Linked DNA regions of Rhinolophus ferrumequinum. The protein of the gene in region 2 interacts with the protein of the main gene of each other region in a pairwise test. Links are inferred from orthologs where the notes say so. Each region holds a gene or a part of one and is shown on either strand. Other genes may lie near its edges.

Evidence for each region.
Region 1: the proteins of ESRRG (region 2) and NR0B1 interact in binary tests that used the Homo sapiens proteins (3 or more experiments, as listed by UniProt). The link is inferred for Rhinolophus ferrumequinum from reciprocal best matches to the Homo sapiens genes ESRRG and NR0B1.

Annotation. Positions count from the first base shown.
Region 1 is NC_046284.1:102,306,119-102,313,651, reverse strand, and holds the start of NR0B1 (nuclear receptor subfamily 0 group B member 1), read right to left. Parts: upstream 3,015-7,533; coding exon 1,835-3,014; intron 1-1,834. UniProt on the Homo sapiens protein: Nuclear receptor that lacks a DNA-binding domain and acts as a corepressor that inhibits the transcriptional activity of other nuclear receptors through heterodimeric interactions.
Region 2 is NC_046310.1:8,615,131-8,622,355, forward strand, and holds the start of ESRRG (estrogen-related receptor gamma), read right to left. Parts: upstream 3,004-7,225; 5' UTR 2,831-3,003; coding exon 2,775-2,830; exon of another isoform or gene 2,771-2,774; intron 1-2,770. UniProt on the Homo sapiens protein: Orphan receptor that acts as a transcription activator in the absence of bound ligand. Binds specifically to an estrogen response element and activates reporter genes controlled by estrogen response elements.

The DNA.
Region 1 (7,533 bases), on a different chromosome or scaffold from region 2:
TACCACACCCTCCTTTTCCAACCTCCCTCCCTGATTTGCCTTCAAAGCAGATTCATGAAAGAGAAAAGGCAAATAGATGGACTCCATTGTAAAAAAAAAAAAAAAAAAAAAAAAAGTTTAAACATAAAAATCAAGGTATAGAAACAGATAAACAGCAAAGAAAGGATACACACTACACAGATATTACTCCCCAGCCCCCATATAGTGCATTTGTGTTTAAAACACACTCAGCTTAGCTGGCTAAACTCATATTGGGAGGATTCGGGAAAGTAAACCAAGAATAAGGGAGGTGCGTGCTTGCGTACATGCCTGTGTGTGTGTGACAAAAGTATGCAAAACAAGGCAGAAGAGGGAAAGTAGTAACTAGTAGAAAGTAAACTGGAAGCTGAACCCATCTTATCTTTGTATTCCAACAGAACAAGGCACATGGTAGATGTTTAATAACACTGACTGAAGGAGAAAACAGTTTTTCAATTATCTTAAAGACCACATGAGGCACTTATTATGAATGCAGATTTGCAGACCCTGGACCAGAGCTATTGAGTCAGAACCTCTAGGGAAGGAGCCTGGAGAGACTTTAAACAAGCTTCCCTAAAGTGTTTCTTACGCACAGGCAAATTTGGACAACAATGATATAAGCAAAAGGTGACGACCTACAGTGATCGCTGGGATGAGCTGAGGTCTCTAGATCCTGAAATGTGAGTTCTGAATGAATTATTTTCCCACTAATTACTGCTCTATACCCCTTTAAAAAAATGCTAGGCAGGAGGCAAGGACATAACCAAAGACTCCTGGTGTCAGGAAAAAAGGATATGGAGAGAACATTATGAAAACTACCCCAATTCAAGCTGCCTGGAGACTTCCAGCACTCTGTGACCCTTGTGGTGGGATTCTGGTTGAAGATGACTCTAGTAGTAAGACATACTCAAGACTAGGTGCCGAACTGTCCAGGGAGATGTTCTCCCATGATATGGTTGTCCTGTGTGGAGGAAAGTGCCCAGCATCCAACAGACATCCCATTGGGCCCAGGAGACAGGAGGTCCATGCTCCATAACTCATCGGCCATTTATTTTGGAGTAAGGTCACTTGAGACTAGGGTACATCATTTGCAAGTGGGGTGGAGGGCAGAGGGGTTGATTAGGAGGTCTCTAAGGACTTTTTGAGCTCTAAAATACAGTGCTCCTGGTCGAAGTACCTAGTGTGTCTTTTTCCTGCCCCTTTGCTAGCCTGATACATCACAGACACTTGGAGGATAAAATAGTCCAGTTGCTTAGGACCATAAAAATGACCATTCAGAGGCAGATCCAGAAACACCAAGTCCAGTGTCCTGCCTGACAGTGTCCCCAGGGGATGGTCTCTCTATGGGTCCTTAACAAATGTTTCCTTTCTTGCCAGTCTTTATAATAGAGTTTTTCCAACAAAGAAGTTCTAGTAAATTTCAGGACTGGGATTCAGAAAGAGATGTTGCAGAACTTGCAGTGAACACAAAGTTTTTTTAAAGCTATGCTAGTGGACTTAAAAGACTAGAAGAGAAGGAATAGCCATGTCCCTTGAAGGCACAAATTTTTCTGTAGTAACAGAAAGTTGTAGAGACAAGCACAGACCTCAACAAAAAAATCCCCCTCCTCTAGGCTGAGTTCCTGGCAGCAGCCTACCCACGCGATGTGGTTGGTTTCTGAAGCTCCCCCAACTATGCTGAGTTAATCACCATTCTTCACGTTTGCCCAGACACTCCCTGACGACTGAAAGCTGTTCAGCCCCTGTGCCCCAGGTAGGCACTGACCAACGCTCTACTGAGCAGAGAAAACCCAGAGCCCCAGGCCGGCGCCCTTACCCGGGTTAAAGAGCACGGTCCCCTTGAGGTAGGCGTACTCCTTGGTACTGATCCCCAGGCTCCAGCACTTGATAAGGAAGCTCTTGATGGCTTGGACCTCGGTGGCCCACGGCAAATGCCGCCCCTCCATGGGCGGTACCAAGTTTGGCGGCAGCGTGTGGAGAGGCAGCGGCTCGTCGCCCGCGATCTCCCGCCGCCTGGTGGTGAGGATCTTTTGCAGCAGGCTGGGCTCCCAGGTCTCCACTGTCTCAAAGTTCATGCGGTCCTGGGCCAGCTCGAGCATGAGCAGCGAAGCCCAGCAGCTGCGCACCAGCACCAGCTGCTGGTCTAGGGGCAGCACCTGGAAACAGGCTAAGTACTTGACGAAGCGCAGCGTCTTCAACAGGCCTGCGGAGGCCGCCTCGCAGACCACCTGTGGATTCTTGAGGGCCACCAGCCGCTGCGCGCTACACAAGGGGTTCCACCAGGGGGCCCCCGGCTGCACCTCTGGAGCCGCGTGCGTTTGTTTTGCGCTCGTGGGCACGTTGAACGGGATGCTGCCTTGCCGCGGGTGGTCTTCACCGCAAAGGCAGCAGCGGTACAGGAGCGCCACTGCCGTCTTACCTGGCAGCTCCTCGCTGCCCCCCAGCCTCTGCGCGCAGTAGGAGCGGTCCCACCACCCGCCTCCGGGACGCGCCTCGGGCGCTTTCAGAGCCACGTGCGTTTGCTTTGCGCTTGTGAGCAAGCTGTAGAGGATGCTGCCCTGCCGTGGGTGGTCTTCACCGCAAAAGCAGCAGCGGTACAGGAGCGCCGTGGCTCGCCCGTCCTGCAGCCCCTCTCTGCCCACCGGGGGCTCCACGCCGCAGTAGCAGCCCCAGCACGCGCCCCGCATCCGCGCCTCGGGCGCCTCCGGAGCCTCTTGCATTTGCTTTGCGTTCGTAAGGATGTTGTAGAGGATGCTGCCCTGCCGCGGGTGGTCTTCACCACAACAGCAGCAGCGGTATAGAAGCGCTACTGCCCTCCCACCCGGCAGCCCCTCTCTGCCCACCGGGGGCTCCGCGCCGCAGGAGCAGCCCCAGCATGCGCCCCCCAGCCTCTCCTTGGGAGCCTCCGGTGCTTCCGGAGCCGCGTGCGTTTGCTTCGCGCTCATGAGTATGTTGTAGAGGATGCTGCCCTGCGACTGGTGGTCCTCACCCGCCATGGCCCGCGGTGTCCGCAGCCGGACTCTGTCCAGTGGCAACCGCCTGGGAGCTATTTATACTGAGCGCGCACGCACGCGCGTCGGCCGTCTCCGCCTGGGCAAGGGCGCGGAGGGGGGCGCGGCGCTGCGCTCCCGTGTGTTTGACGGCGACTTCAGCGGTTCATAAGGGGCAGACACTACTTAGAGGCTGGAACTAGAAGAGGAAGGGAGGCCTGAGAACTCCTGGACACTTTCCTGTTTGCTCTCATCACACCCTTCCCTGCCTCTGGAAGACCAAAGCAGAGCCGGGAACAGGTACTTGCGGCACTGTTCCAACTCTTTCCATTGAACTCTGGCATCTCATTTGCTCCCTTTGTTGGGAGGGCAGGGGTGCCTAAAACGGGAAAAATATATGTCTATGCCATCTTTGGAAACTTTCACCGAATGATGAAACTTTCTATGACTTATATTTTGTATATGGATAGGGAGGTTTCAGTTTTGGGGACCTTGAAAAATATAGACCATGGACCAGCACTATTAGTATCATGGGAACTTGGTAGAAATGCCCAATCTCTGGCCCCAATCAGACCTTCTGACTCTGAATCTGCATTTTTAACTTGGTCCCCAGGGGATTTGCATTCACCTTAAATTTGGAAAAGCACTGGTCTAAGCATGCAATCGAAAGCTGTGGGGACAGAGTCCCAGAGAGCAGTTTCCAGGCTCTCCGCCTCACGTGGAAAGGTGCTGGCGCTGGTAGTAGATGGCCATCAGCTGTGACTAGTTGGCCATCAGCTGTTACTGGTTAGCCATTAGACACTGATATAACTGCCATAGGTACGCTGGGTTGGTTGGGTTGCAGAGAAGTGGACGCTGGATTGCGAATCGTGTGGCTCCTGCCTCCTGTGTCTCCAACCCAGCCGCCAGCGAGAATATAGTGGTGTGAACCCCTTATCCATGGCTCCGTTTGTGTTCCTTTTTGGCCTCACCATATCCTGTGTTCTTATGTGGGGAGCGGGAGCAGAGACCCCGCATGACAGAAGTGTTTTGTTTAATTCTATTAATATTTATGAGCACCCACTGTCTTAGGTGCTGTGTTAGAGAAATAGGGGCAGCGACCAGGATGTCAAAGTGGCTACTATGGGGAAATACAATAATCACAAGGGGCTAAATCTTGCTACAGTGAGAACTTTGGATTCTTCTAGAGATATTACACTGAGTAGATGTGTAATCAACATTTCTTTTTCCATCCTTCCTAACTGAATAATGAGAAACACAGGTTTCAGGAAAGCTAGATTCTTAGGTTCTCACTTGTCACACAGCCTCCTTCCTTGAGTTCCATACAGGCACTGAGATCAGTGGGTCTCCCCACACCACCACCTGCCCCTAGTGTAACTAGTTGATTGTTTCACCAACCAGCTGGGTAATTTCAAAATCACAACCCTTTAGTCCTCAAATTCCTCATCTCTAGAATGGCAGGTTTGTTTAGTGATCTCTTGGGTCGAGGATTGAAGACATGGAGCAGGGAAGGGGTGGGGGCTGGTGTATATCAGCTGGCATAGGATCCCCTTTCTCTTTTTTCAGTTTCTCTGGGACCTAGAAATTCAAAGCTTAAGAGAAAAATCTAGAAAATATTTATTTTGCATTCAACCTGAAATTTTGTTCTACCTGGGAGAAGCCCTATAGCACAGTGGCTAAATCTCTAGCACTGGCACCAGATTGCCTCAATTTTTATTCTGGCCCTGACACTTTGTAGCTCCGTGGCCTTGGGCAATGTATTAGTTTTCTGTTGCTGCTGTAACAAATTACCACAAATTTAATGATTTAAGGCTACAGAAATTGATTATGCTACAGTTCTGGAAGCCAAAACTCTGATATCAGTTTCACTGGGCTAAAATCAAGGCGACGTTTCTTCTCGAAGTGCTAGAGGAGAATCAATTTCCTTGTCTTTTCCACCTTCTAGAAGCTTCCTGCATTCCTTGGCTCCTGGCCACATCACTCCGACTCTGCTTCCATCTCCTTTCTGACTCTTATAAGTGTCTTTATAATTACACTGAGCAAACCCAGATAATCTAGAATAACCTCTCCATCTCAAAATTGTTAAATCACATTTGCAAAGTCCCTTTTACCATGTAAGATAACATATTCACAGGTTCTGAGGATTCGGACACGGACATCATTGGGGGGCATTATTTAGCCCTTTACAGGAAAGTTACTTAAGCCGCCTGTACCTCAGTTTCCTTATTTGTAAAACATGAAGAGTGGTTTCTGTGAAGTAATCCATGTACATGAGTTACTTCATGTAAAATGTTTGCTTGGTATATGATAAGTATCCCCTTTTTTTAAAAGATAATGTGGGATAACTTCAGGGTTAGGAAGTGATACTATACCATCATTATTCTCTCCCAGGGAAAGCCACCCTCACCCTCCACCCAGGAGCTGTCTCATTTTCTTCTACATGTCCACATTTCTTGGCCCAGACTCAAAACACTGGATGGGTTACCTGGTCCACACAATAATGTATTAGGGAAATGTTATCTCATTGTCCATTTCATCATTTGCCATTTCCAATATTCAAGCTACTATTTTGGGTATGCTATTGCTATTTCTACAGTCTTCCTGCTTGATGAAGCCACCAAACAACCTAGCTGAAAACCCAGGCTGCCTCAGTCCCAACGTAAGTTGCCAGTGCTAGTTACTTTATACTATGTTACCCTACTTTATTTTCCTCCTAACACTTATCCGAATCTGATATGATTGATTTGTTTAGTTATTTGATGCTGGTTGATTGTCTCCCCTCTCCACTAGTATAAAAATCCCCTGAGGGCAAGGAATCGGTCACTCTATATCCCAGCAACTAGAACAATGTCTGGCATACAGTAGGTGCTCAAGAATATTTCTGTTGGCTGACCACATGTTTAGAGAAACAGGAGAAGGCTATAGCTCCTACTCTCAACACAGAGGGCAAGCATTCCCACACAACTATTACTGAAGTGACTCTGGAAGAAGGAGAAGTTCGAAGGCCCTGTTGGACTCAGAGCTTCGTGGGGACCTTTTTTGATAGAGTGCTGCAGGCACTGTGGTAAAGTAACAAGAGGACTGAGTGAATAGTCAAAAGATAGGACTGTGAATTTGGGCTCTTTCACTCTTATAATGTTGAACAAGTCATTTAACTTCAGCCTTCACACTTGTGAAATGGGAAAAATTCTATCAACCGGTATGAATCTGTTCACTTTGTTCTTAGTCCTTCAAGGGTTATTTTTTTTTTCTCAATATAGCCCTTCACAGAAACGTTTTATTAACCTCTTCACTACATTGAAAATATAAAGCAACGTAAGTTTACACTGATTCACTTTCTAATGACTTAACATTGAGCAAAACGTTCAATATTACGTTAACCTTTTCACACCGAGTGGGTACTAGACTTATCGGGGGGATCACTTCATAAATTATATGAATATCGAACCATTATGCTGTACACATGAAACTAATATAAAATAATATTGAATGTCAAAAATAAAAATTAAAAAAATTTACATTAGCCTTTTCAGCTATGAAAGCAGAAAAATGCTATAAACTATTTTAATATATGTACTCTATCCCTATATTATTCAAAGGTTTTTCTAAAACTCATCTTGTCAACTGTATTTAAAAACAAACACAAAAGAAACCTAGTAACTTAAGCCCATTTTTTTGTGTGAGTTTAATCCTTCACACCTCACACGTATTAAATGACTTTGCCTTTCAGGGATTATCTCACATAGAACCTTCAGTACAATGTTGAGAACCATGAACTTGTAACATATTGGTTACAATTCCTGTTCTTTCCCAGGAGCAGTCTTCTGATATGTTTTATTCTTGTGGGGGTTTTTTGTCTTTTGTTTTTTGAAGTTGCAATCTTCTATTTGCAACTCTGATGGACTTTCTAGGTTCTTTGGATTGAGTGTGTCTAAAATGAGATTGCCTGCTTGTTCTTCACAAGTATTCATCTTTGGAAATTTCAGCAGAAAACTGACTTCATCTTTCCACTTTCCATTTTTTCCCCTGAACAAATAGCTCCTGAGAAACAAAATCATCTAAACACACCAGTGCAGAGATTTGCACCAAGTAATGCCAACCTGCCAGTGGCTACAGGATTAGTGAAGACATAACCTTCTAAGGCAGATGCAGGCTTCTTCATTTGATTTGTTCCATGTCCTCAGACCACTGTGACAGCTAGACAGAGGGTACTCATCAACTGCACCTGTCACATGCTGAGTTTGTCCACAACTGCAATTGGGATATTTACCCTGAATCATTATTCGATGACCTTGGTCAGTTGGACACCTGCTCTGCAGAATCCATTATCTGTTCCAACTCAGGGTGGGAGTAAAGCTACTCTCCCTGCCTGAATGAAACCTTCAACTTCAAAGTAATGCAGTTTTCACTAAAGGATGTAGGAGTGGAGTACAGGTGGGGAAAAAGCCAGGTAAAATTATAAAACTGATCTTTGCACAGCAAGCTGCTCTTGACCTGGGAAGGCACAACTATCTGAAACCTGATA
Region 2 (7,225 bases):
AATATCACACCTATAGTGGCTTAGGCAAGCTCTTATCTTTAAAAAAAAAAATTGCATCCACTCTGATTTAAGCTTTCTGTTGTTGTTACTGTATACATTTTTCCTTCCTGTCTATTTTTATCCCATAGATTTTGACATTACAGTATTACTTTTGGACAGTTATATTTCAATTTACTTCAGCTTCTAATAAGGAGAGATGAGGCAGAGAAAAAAAAAAATAACCAAAACCCTGAAACAGAAAGAGTGGACCATGCAAAATAAAACTTACATAGCTCCAAACAGCATTCTGAAAACCCAAATTTGTTTAATTGTCAGTGTCTGGATTTCAGTGATCAAGCTGAAATTTACTGAACTATTCCCTCCTCGTCTTGCCTGTTTTGGAGTGTTTCAATTGCCTTTCCTTCTTCCAACAGCTGTGACAACTGTTAAAACAGTCAGTAAAATTAAGTCCGCTCTATAATCCTGTAGTCAATGTTACATTTTAATCAGAGGTTGAAAGGGATTCATGTGATGAGCACACTCATTTAGCATGATTAGACTGACACGTATGTCAAAATGAGCAGATATATTATTTTCATCTATTTATGCTATCAGTTATTACTGCTATTAAATGTGAAACAAGCTTTCAAGTATTATGTTCTTTAATGTGCTGGCCCATTTCCTAAATTAAAAAAAAAAAAATACATAGTTATAGGTTAACATTTTAGGCTCTTCTAACGGTGGTCAATAAATTGTACGAACCTTTTTTTAATCGCCTCCGAAGCAGAAATTGTCCAATATTTTCCTGTGAAACTGCATAACTGGTTTCATTTCTATGTATACACACACGTGATGGGGTTTAACCCAGTACAATTACTATGAATATTAATAGCATGTATAAATTCTAGGGTTTATTAATTGAGACAGAGAGGCAGATGTGTTGCTTAGCATTAGATCTTTCTGTCTGTCCAGTGAACCACGTAACCATCAGAACTGCATCCAGACAATAAATCTGTATTTTTTTTAAAGATGACTTTTAATGGAGCCCAAAAGAAAGCTAGTTTGAATCTTGCGCCAAAGCCAAAAGGACATGTGCCCTGATTTCATTTAAATGCATCTGCTTTAAGAGGCTTATCTAAACCAATTATTCAAATTAGCTATAAAAGTTAAATTCAAGGAAACTACTTTAAAAAGACGCCTCTAGGGGATTTTTAAAGTTTCTTTTATTTCTTTATTTAAGAGAGAAAAGTTCAGAACCTGGGTGAGTTCGGATAATGTGTTCTTCCTGACATGAAGACATTTTAAACTCTCCAATTCTCCAGTCCCCAGTCCTCTAACCTTCACCCTACATTGGAGTGCGCAGTCCTACTTTTGTTTATTTTTCATTTTTATTTTCACACAGTTTAAGCTTGTTTCTCGAGTGTTTCCAACTGATGGAAGCACAGCCTTCCAACCTTTCAGCTCTTCCTAAGTCTACCTCTTGGCTAATATCCTCTGCATGAGTGTGTATATGAGTCTGTGTGTGTGTACACACACACACACACACAGCCACTCAGGCTGCAAGTCACTTTCATCTCTTACTTAATTACAAAGCAGTGCAATATGCAATCACTAAGGACAGCTAGTGGACATTTCCCTATAATGCACTGCCTCATCTTCTACAGTTTTATATTTTCTCCACAATCTATAGAGAGAAATGTTTGCCAAGAGCACTCTTTTCAGAATTATTATAACAGTTGATATTAATGTAATCTGAAAGCAAAGCAATATAACTGACTCAACAGAAAGATGGACCAGTGACAGCTCCAGTGACATACTAATATTTTATCTTAACAGTGGGTTGAAATTAAGTTTATGACCTACTCATTTATACAGGAATGCCTAATTTACTTCACCTAACCCCCTATCTACCCCACCTTTACTAATCCAAATATATAGATCCATGGGCATAAAGATGTTCATAAATACAAATTAAACTGCATGTAAGAACAAAACTACTTTTCTATATTTTCTGGACATGAATCACGAAACAAATTCACAATCTCAACAGAGTCTCTTCAAGGGGAAATTTTAAAAGTCACTACTGTTTCTTTAGGGCTTTTTTTCTCCCTTAAATATTAATAATGTGTGAAAATCTCATGTTACTTAATGGACTGATTTGTCAGTTAAGTGCTGACTTAACGCTAACCATGCAAATAACATTATTCTAGCCCTGAACTGCAAAGGGCTAGTTTTTAAATTGTTTTCTGAAGGAGAATTAGTAAATGTGCAATTTTGCCTCTAACTCTGCCGGGTTAAGAAATGACAGGGCGCTGAAAATATCTGTCAAACTGCACATCCATAAGAAGCGCTCCATAGTATAAATCATTTTGAATATTGTATTTTAAAACATCTTTCCTTGGGAAAATGGGTCCTAGGAAAAGATGCATTTTAACAGTTCACTAAGCATTTGTGCCAAGTGCCTATTCTTAGCACCTGAATAAGAAGTGACTGTCACACAGCTGTTTTACGGACAGTCACTGAGCTTCGCCTCAAAGGTAATATTGTAGTCAGAACAATTCTCGACTTACTGAATTAGGAGATCACGCTCCACACAAAAGGCACCAGACAGACGCAAACAAGCACAGTGCACACAAAACACCCAGGGCATTACCTGAATCAGTGTGCAAAGAGACATTCTGTCCACCCCCCTCCACACACACACACACACACACACACACACACACACACACACACACACTGAGACACACGCACCCCCACGCCGAGTTTTAAAAAGGAAAGAAAAAGGTACCTACTCTTCCTCGTAGTGCAGGGAAAAAGATTCAGGGAGGCAAAGTTCTACCGAATCCATGTGCGACCGGCAACCATTATGTGTGCACCCCAGCTATAAATCAAAGTTTCCTTGACAGAGCACAGTGCAATTAACACAAATGTTCTCCTAGTGACAAGCCTATAGGCACGGCCAGTTGGGACCAAAGCTCTCACACTCTCCTAATCAAGGACTTAAAGCCCCGATTGGAGCTTATTAATATGAAGTAGGGCTTTACATATGCAGTCCCACTGGCCCAGCCGCGCAGCCGATTGGGGGGCGTCTGCCCAATCAGGAGGGAGGCCACGGGAGGCTGCACCGAGCAACGCAGCCAGGCAGGTAGGACGGGTGCAGACAAGCAAGGGGTGAAAACAGAGTGGGAGAGAAACAGAGAGCCAAGACCAGGGATAGAAACGCAGTCTGTGGATCCTGGGCTTCTGCTTTCCTCTCTTTTCTTTTTCCTTTCCTTTCCTTTCTTCTTTTTTTCTTTCTCTCTCTCTCTTTTTTTTTTTTCCTGGGAAGCTGCCAAAGAAACATAACTAACTTAACTCTCTAAGCACTGGAGGCATTGGGTTTCTCTCCTACGTAAGATCCGTTTTGCCTTGCAAAGAAGAACTCACGCAGACTCTCAGTTAATTTGGGAAAGGATTCTGCGGGAAGGTAGAGAATGAAGTTTGTCCTGCGGTTGTGTGTGTCCTACTCCACTGGGGGCTGCGGCTTATTGAGCGCTGTACTTTCTCGTGCATTCGTCATCGTGTCTTTTCCTGTTTTCCTGATGTAGACGGGGCAGTTTAAAGAATCAAAGATATTCTTCTCAATTGTTGGGGCAGGTGAATGGAGATCTCATCTTTGAGGAGGAATTCAGTTTTTCACAAGTACAGAGTGGGGAAATAGTGCCTGGAGACAATTTTGAGAGGATGCCTATTTAAATTATCTGTGTAAACATTTCTTTACCTGCTGCTGTCTCCCTACCTATAGATATACGATGCATAGCTTTTCAAAACTGCAGGACAAATTGGCTTTTCCACTTTCAGGGATGGGAGACTGAGAACTGTAGTGTAAATGGTACCTAAAATCCATCTCAGAGCATTTTGACAAAATAAAGGCTGCATTTTTTATTTTTTATTTTTTATGGTAGGGAGAGCATCACAAAATAGTGCACTCCAAGTGTTCTCAGTCATATACTTATTTCAATACAAGCTTCCAAACTAGGAGACATATACAAATATATATGATTTTACCCAAAAGATCAGCTTTCTAATAAAAGGCTGTTTACATATTTGTTCCTATACATAATACACCCTGAATACTTTAAAAAAAATCAGCTCAGAAATATTTTGGAAATCATCACACAGTCTGATCATTATAAGGACTAGCTTCAAACATAATAATTTACAAAAATAAGAATTCTCAATAAAAAGTATCTTTTTCAGAGAATATAAGAAGAGGAGGGTGTTTTTTCCTCCAATAGTATATAGCGTGTTTTCAGTTTCCACGTGACAAAGAGTTTTGTTAGGTGCTATTTTAAAATACAGGATTTTTTAGACTAGCAAATGTACTTGGAATAAATACCACCTATTTATGGCAAAGAGATGACTGCTACCGTATGGAGAGTGGAAGTCTCACAATTTTGATATAATGCAGTGCTACTGCTTACCAACCTTTTGTATCAAATGTCTTACATGACATAAATAGTATAATCTTTGAAATTAAAATAAATTAATTCAGATAGTCAGCGTGTGTTAAATTCACTAAATCAGAACTTGATTCTTTTTCTCAATGCTCTCAAATTTTCTAGGTCTTCAAAAAACAAAACAAAACACAATACAAAAATAGAACAACCACATTAAAATGCAGAATATAAAAACGACAGGCATCATTTGGTCCCCCCACTGAAAAAAAGCAATTTTTCTACCATGTATTTAGTCAGAGCTAAGATACAGGCCTGATTCCTTTTATTTGTGGTTTAAATACATACAAGTTTCTAGAGGGGAACTCACATAGCAAAAACTGTGCCTGAAAATACTGTATAAAAGCAGGTAGTAAAAGCTTAATTACTAGTAGCATTATGCTGTCTATATTGTTAAATGTGAACTCTGCAATTAAGATGTAAATTTGGTTGTGAGTAGTGAATTAAAAGAGCTTTGAGATGTAGAATATCCAAGCATTCTGCAGATACCAAGGAGTGGGGGAAGATTTGCCTATTCAATCTAAAATGAGACATGGAATCACTTTGTAATTAAAAAATAAATGAAAAGGCATTTGAAAAAGAAACATGATTTTTCTGAAATACAATAAAAGAAATATGGAAGCTAATACTGCATTATAAAGACAGCTTAAAAAATATCTTTGATTCAGATTACTATCTTGACTTCTGAATAAACTGAAATCTTCTGGGTACTGAATGGATCCAATTGTTACATATTTTTAAAAGATTTACAAAAAAAAAAGTTTTCTTCTTACTTTATCCAGAGACCTACTTAAAAATAATAATAATAAATTATTTAATGGATCGACGCATTCAGATTCTGCACCTGTGCAGAATCCTGTACTGCCGTCAGTTTCTTTGCATTATCATGCTGTGACAGAACCTGTTTATTCCTCCGTCGAAATGGCTTTTTAAAGACAAGATTTGTCGTCAATTATTTACCGATGGACCTTAAGTCACCACATTTCACAGGAGTTATCTTTTATTTCCCAGAATTTTCTTATGCCCTTTAGGTACTTATTTGACCCATTATGAACCATTTGATTTTGTTAGTATATATAGATTTTTAACATGGTTAGACTCATATTCATGTGTACGTCTTTTTTCTGTGCTCACAGAGATCCATGTACAAGCGTCCCCAGTTTAGTCCCCATTGATCTCTCAGGAACCATATTTCATCTATGCAAGGTGCAGTGTCCACTAAGCTAGCTGCTTTCCGAATGACCAGAAGTGCACTAGGTTTTCAGAGCTCTCTGTTTTCCCCTTGGGATTAATATGTCACCTCTACAAGTCCAGGACCTAAGATTACACCTACTGTCTTGAATCCAGTTTAACCAATTTAAAATTTAAAATGATCTCTATGGCCCTAAACTTGTGAGATAGCCTCCAGAATATTTTCTAAACACATAGCTTAGTCAGTTCAAGAATCTTCCCGAGTGATAGAGTTTTCTCATCTTGAAAGAGGAAAGAGCGGATAATCACAGGAAATATACACAGCACGAGCAATACTGGGCATAAACCGTTAAGAGTCACAACTTCAAGGATTTGGGGGCGGGAAATGAAACAAATAGATAACAGCCTAGAATAACACATTTTGCTAACACTTCACAATCTTACCACAAGGAGTCTACCCAAAGCAGGATACATGGGACCAAACAAAAGGACCTCTTCGGATTGTTTCACAAAGAATATTAATAAATTAGTTAATATCAGTCTATTATGCATCATGCCCAGTGTCCAATCATAGTGTCAACATGTTCTTCAAACAATATAGTCCCACAATCCAAACAACCGCATTCTTAGGCGCCAAGTGACACAGGGACACCAGGCAGAAAATGTATTTCGTTTCCATTTGAAACAAGGAATGGCAATAAACAAAACTGAAGTGGAAACAAAAGGTAGATAGATCCCTGGTGTCTATAGCAGAATTTTTACTGTATTTTAATCAGCATCATTTCCTAAAACATTCTACTAATGCATACTTCTGTTGCTAAAAGGTGATGAGACCGCTTCAGTCTTGCTATCATTACTGCATATTAACAGCTATTTCTAGGTCCCACTTTCCTTTTCTGAAAATTAACAGGACTAACCTGAATTAACATGCATATAGTCACTGCCCTAATGTTGGAAGCAAATTTTGATTTTTGTATTGCACAGGTGCCATTTGTTAAATATTTAAAACCCAACGAGGCATCGCAAATTTATAGATTTTTTTCGAATTGCCTCGTAATCTACCTCTGCAGATCTTTCCCCCAGATCATAAAACCTTTGAAAAGCTGTTTGGCTTTTTGAACGCTCTTTCCTGCTGTCTTTCATATAGCGCACGTTATGTAACATACCAATGCTACAGAAAGCAAACCAAGACTCTTATAAACTCCTAACTTTAACACCAAAAGAAAACACACAATGAGGATCCCTGGAAAAAAATGCTTAGAGGACAAGCAGGAAGCCTGAAGCCCAAACTCCCTTCTGCCCCGTCATGAGTTGTGTGGCCTTGAGCAGGTCACCTCACTGATCTGTCTCTAGTTTCCTCCTCTGGGCCTTGGGATTTCTTTTATGCTGGAAACCTGCTTAACATACTTTTCCCACTGAGATCACGAAGCCGTCTTGCGACGTCCGTATGCCTACTTTACTCTATATTTCCACCAAACCTCTATCAATTCATCATACCTCATTTTCTGTTGCTTTTCATTTCTAGGGCACAGGCTTTGATATTTAAATTATTGTCT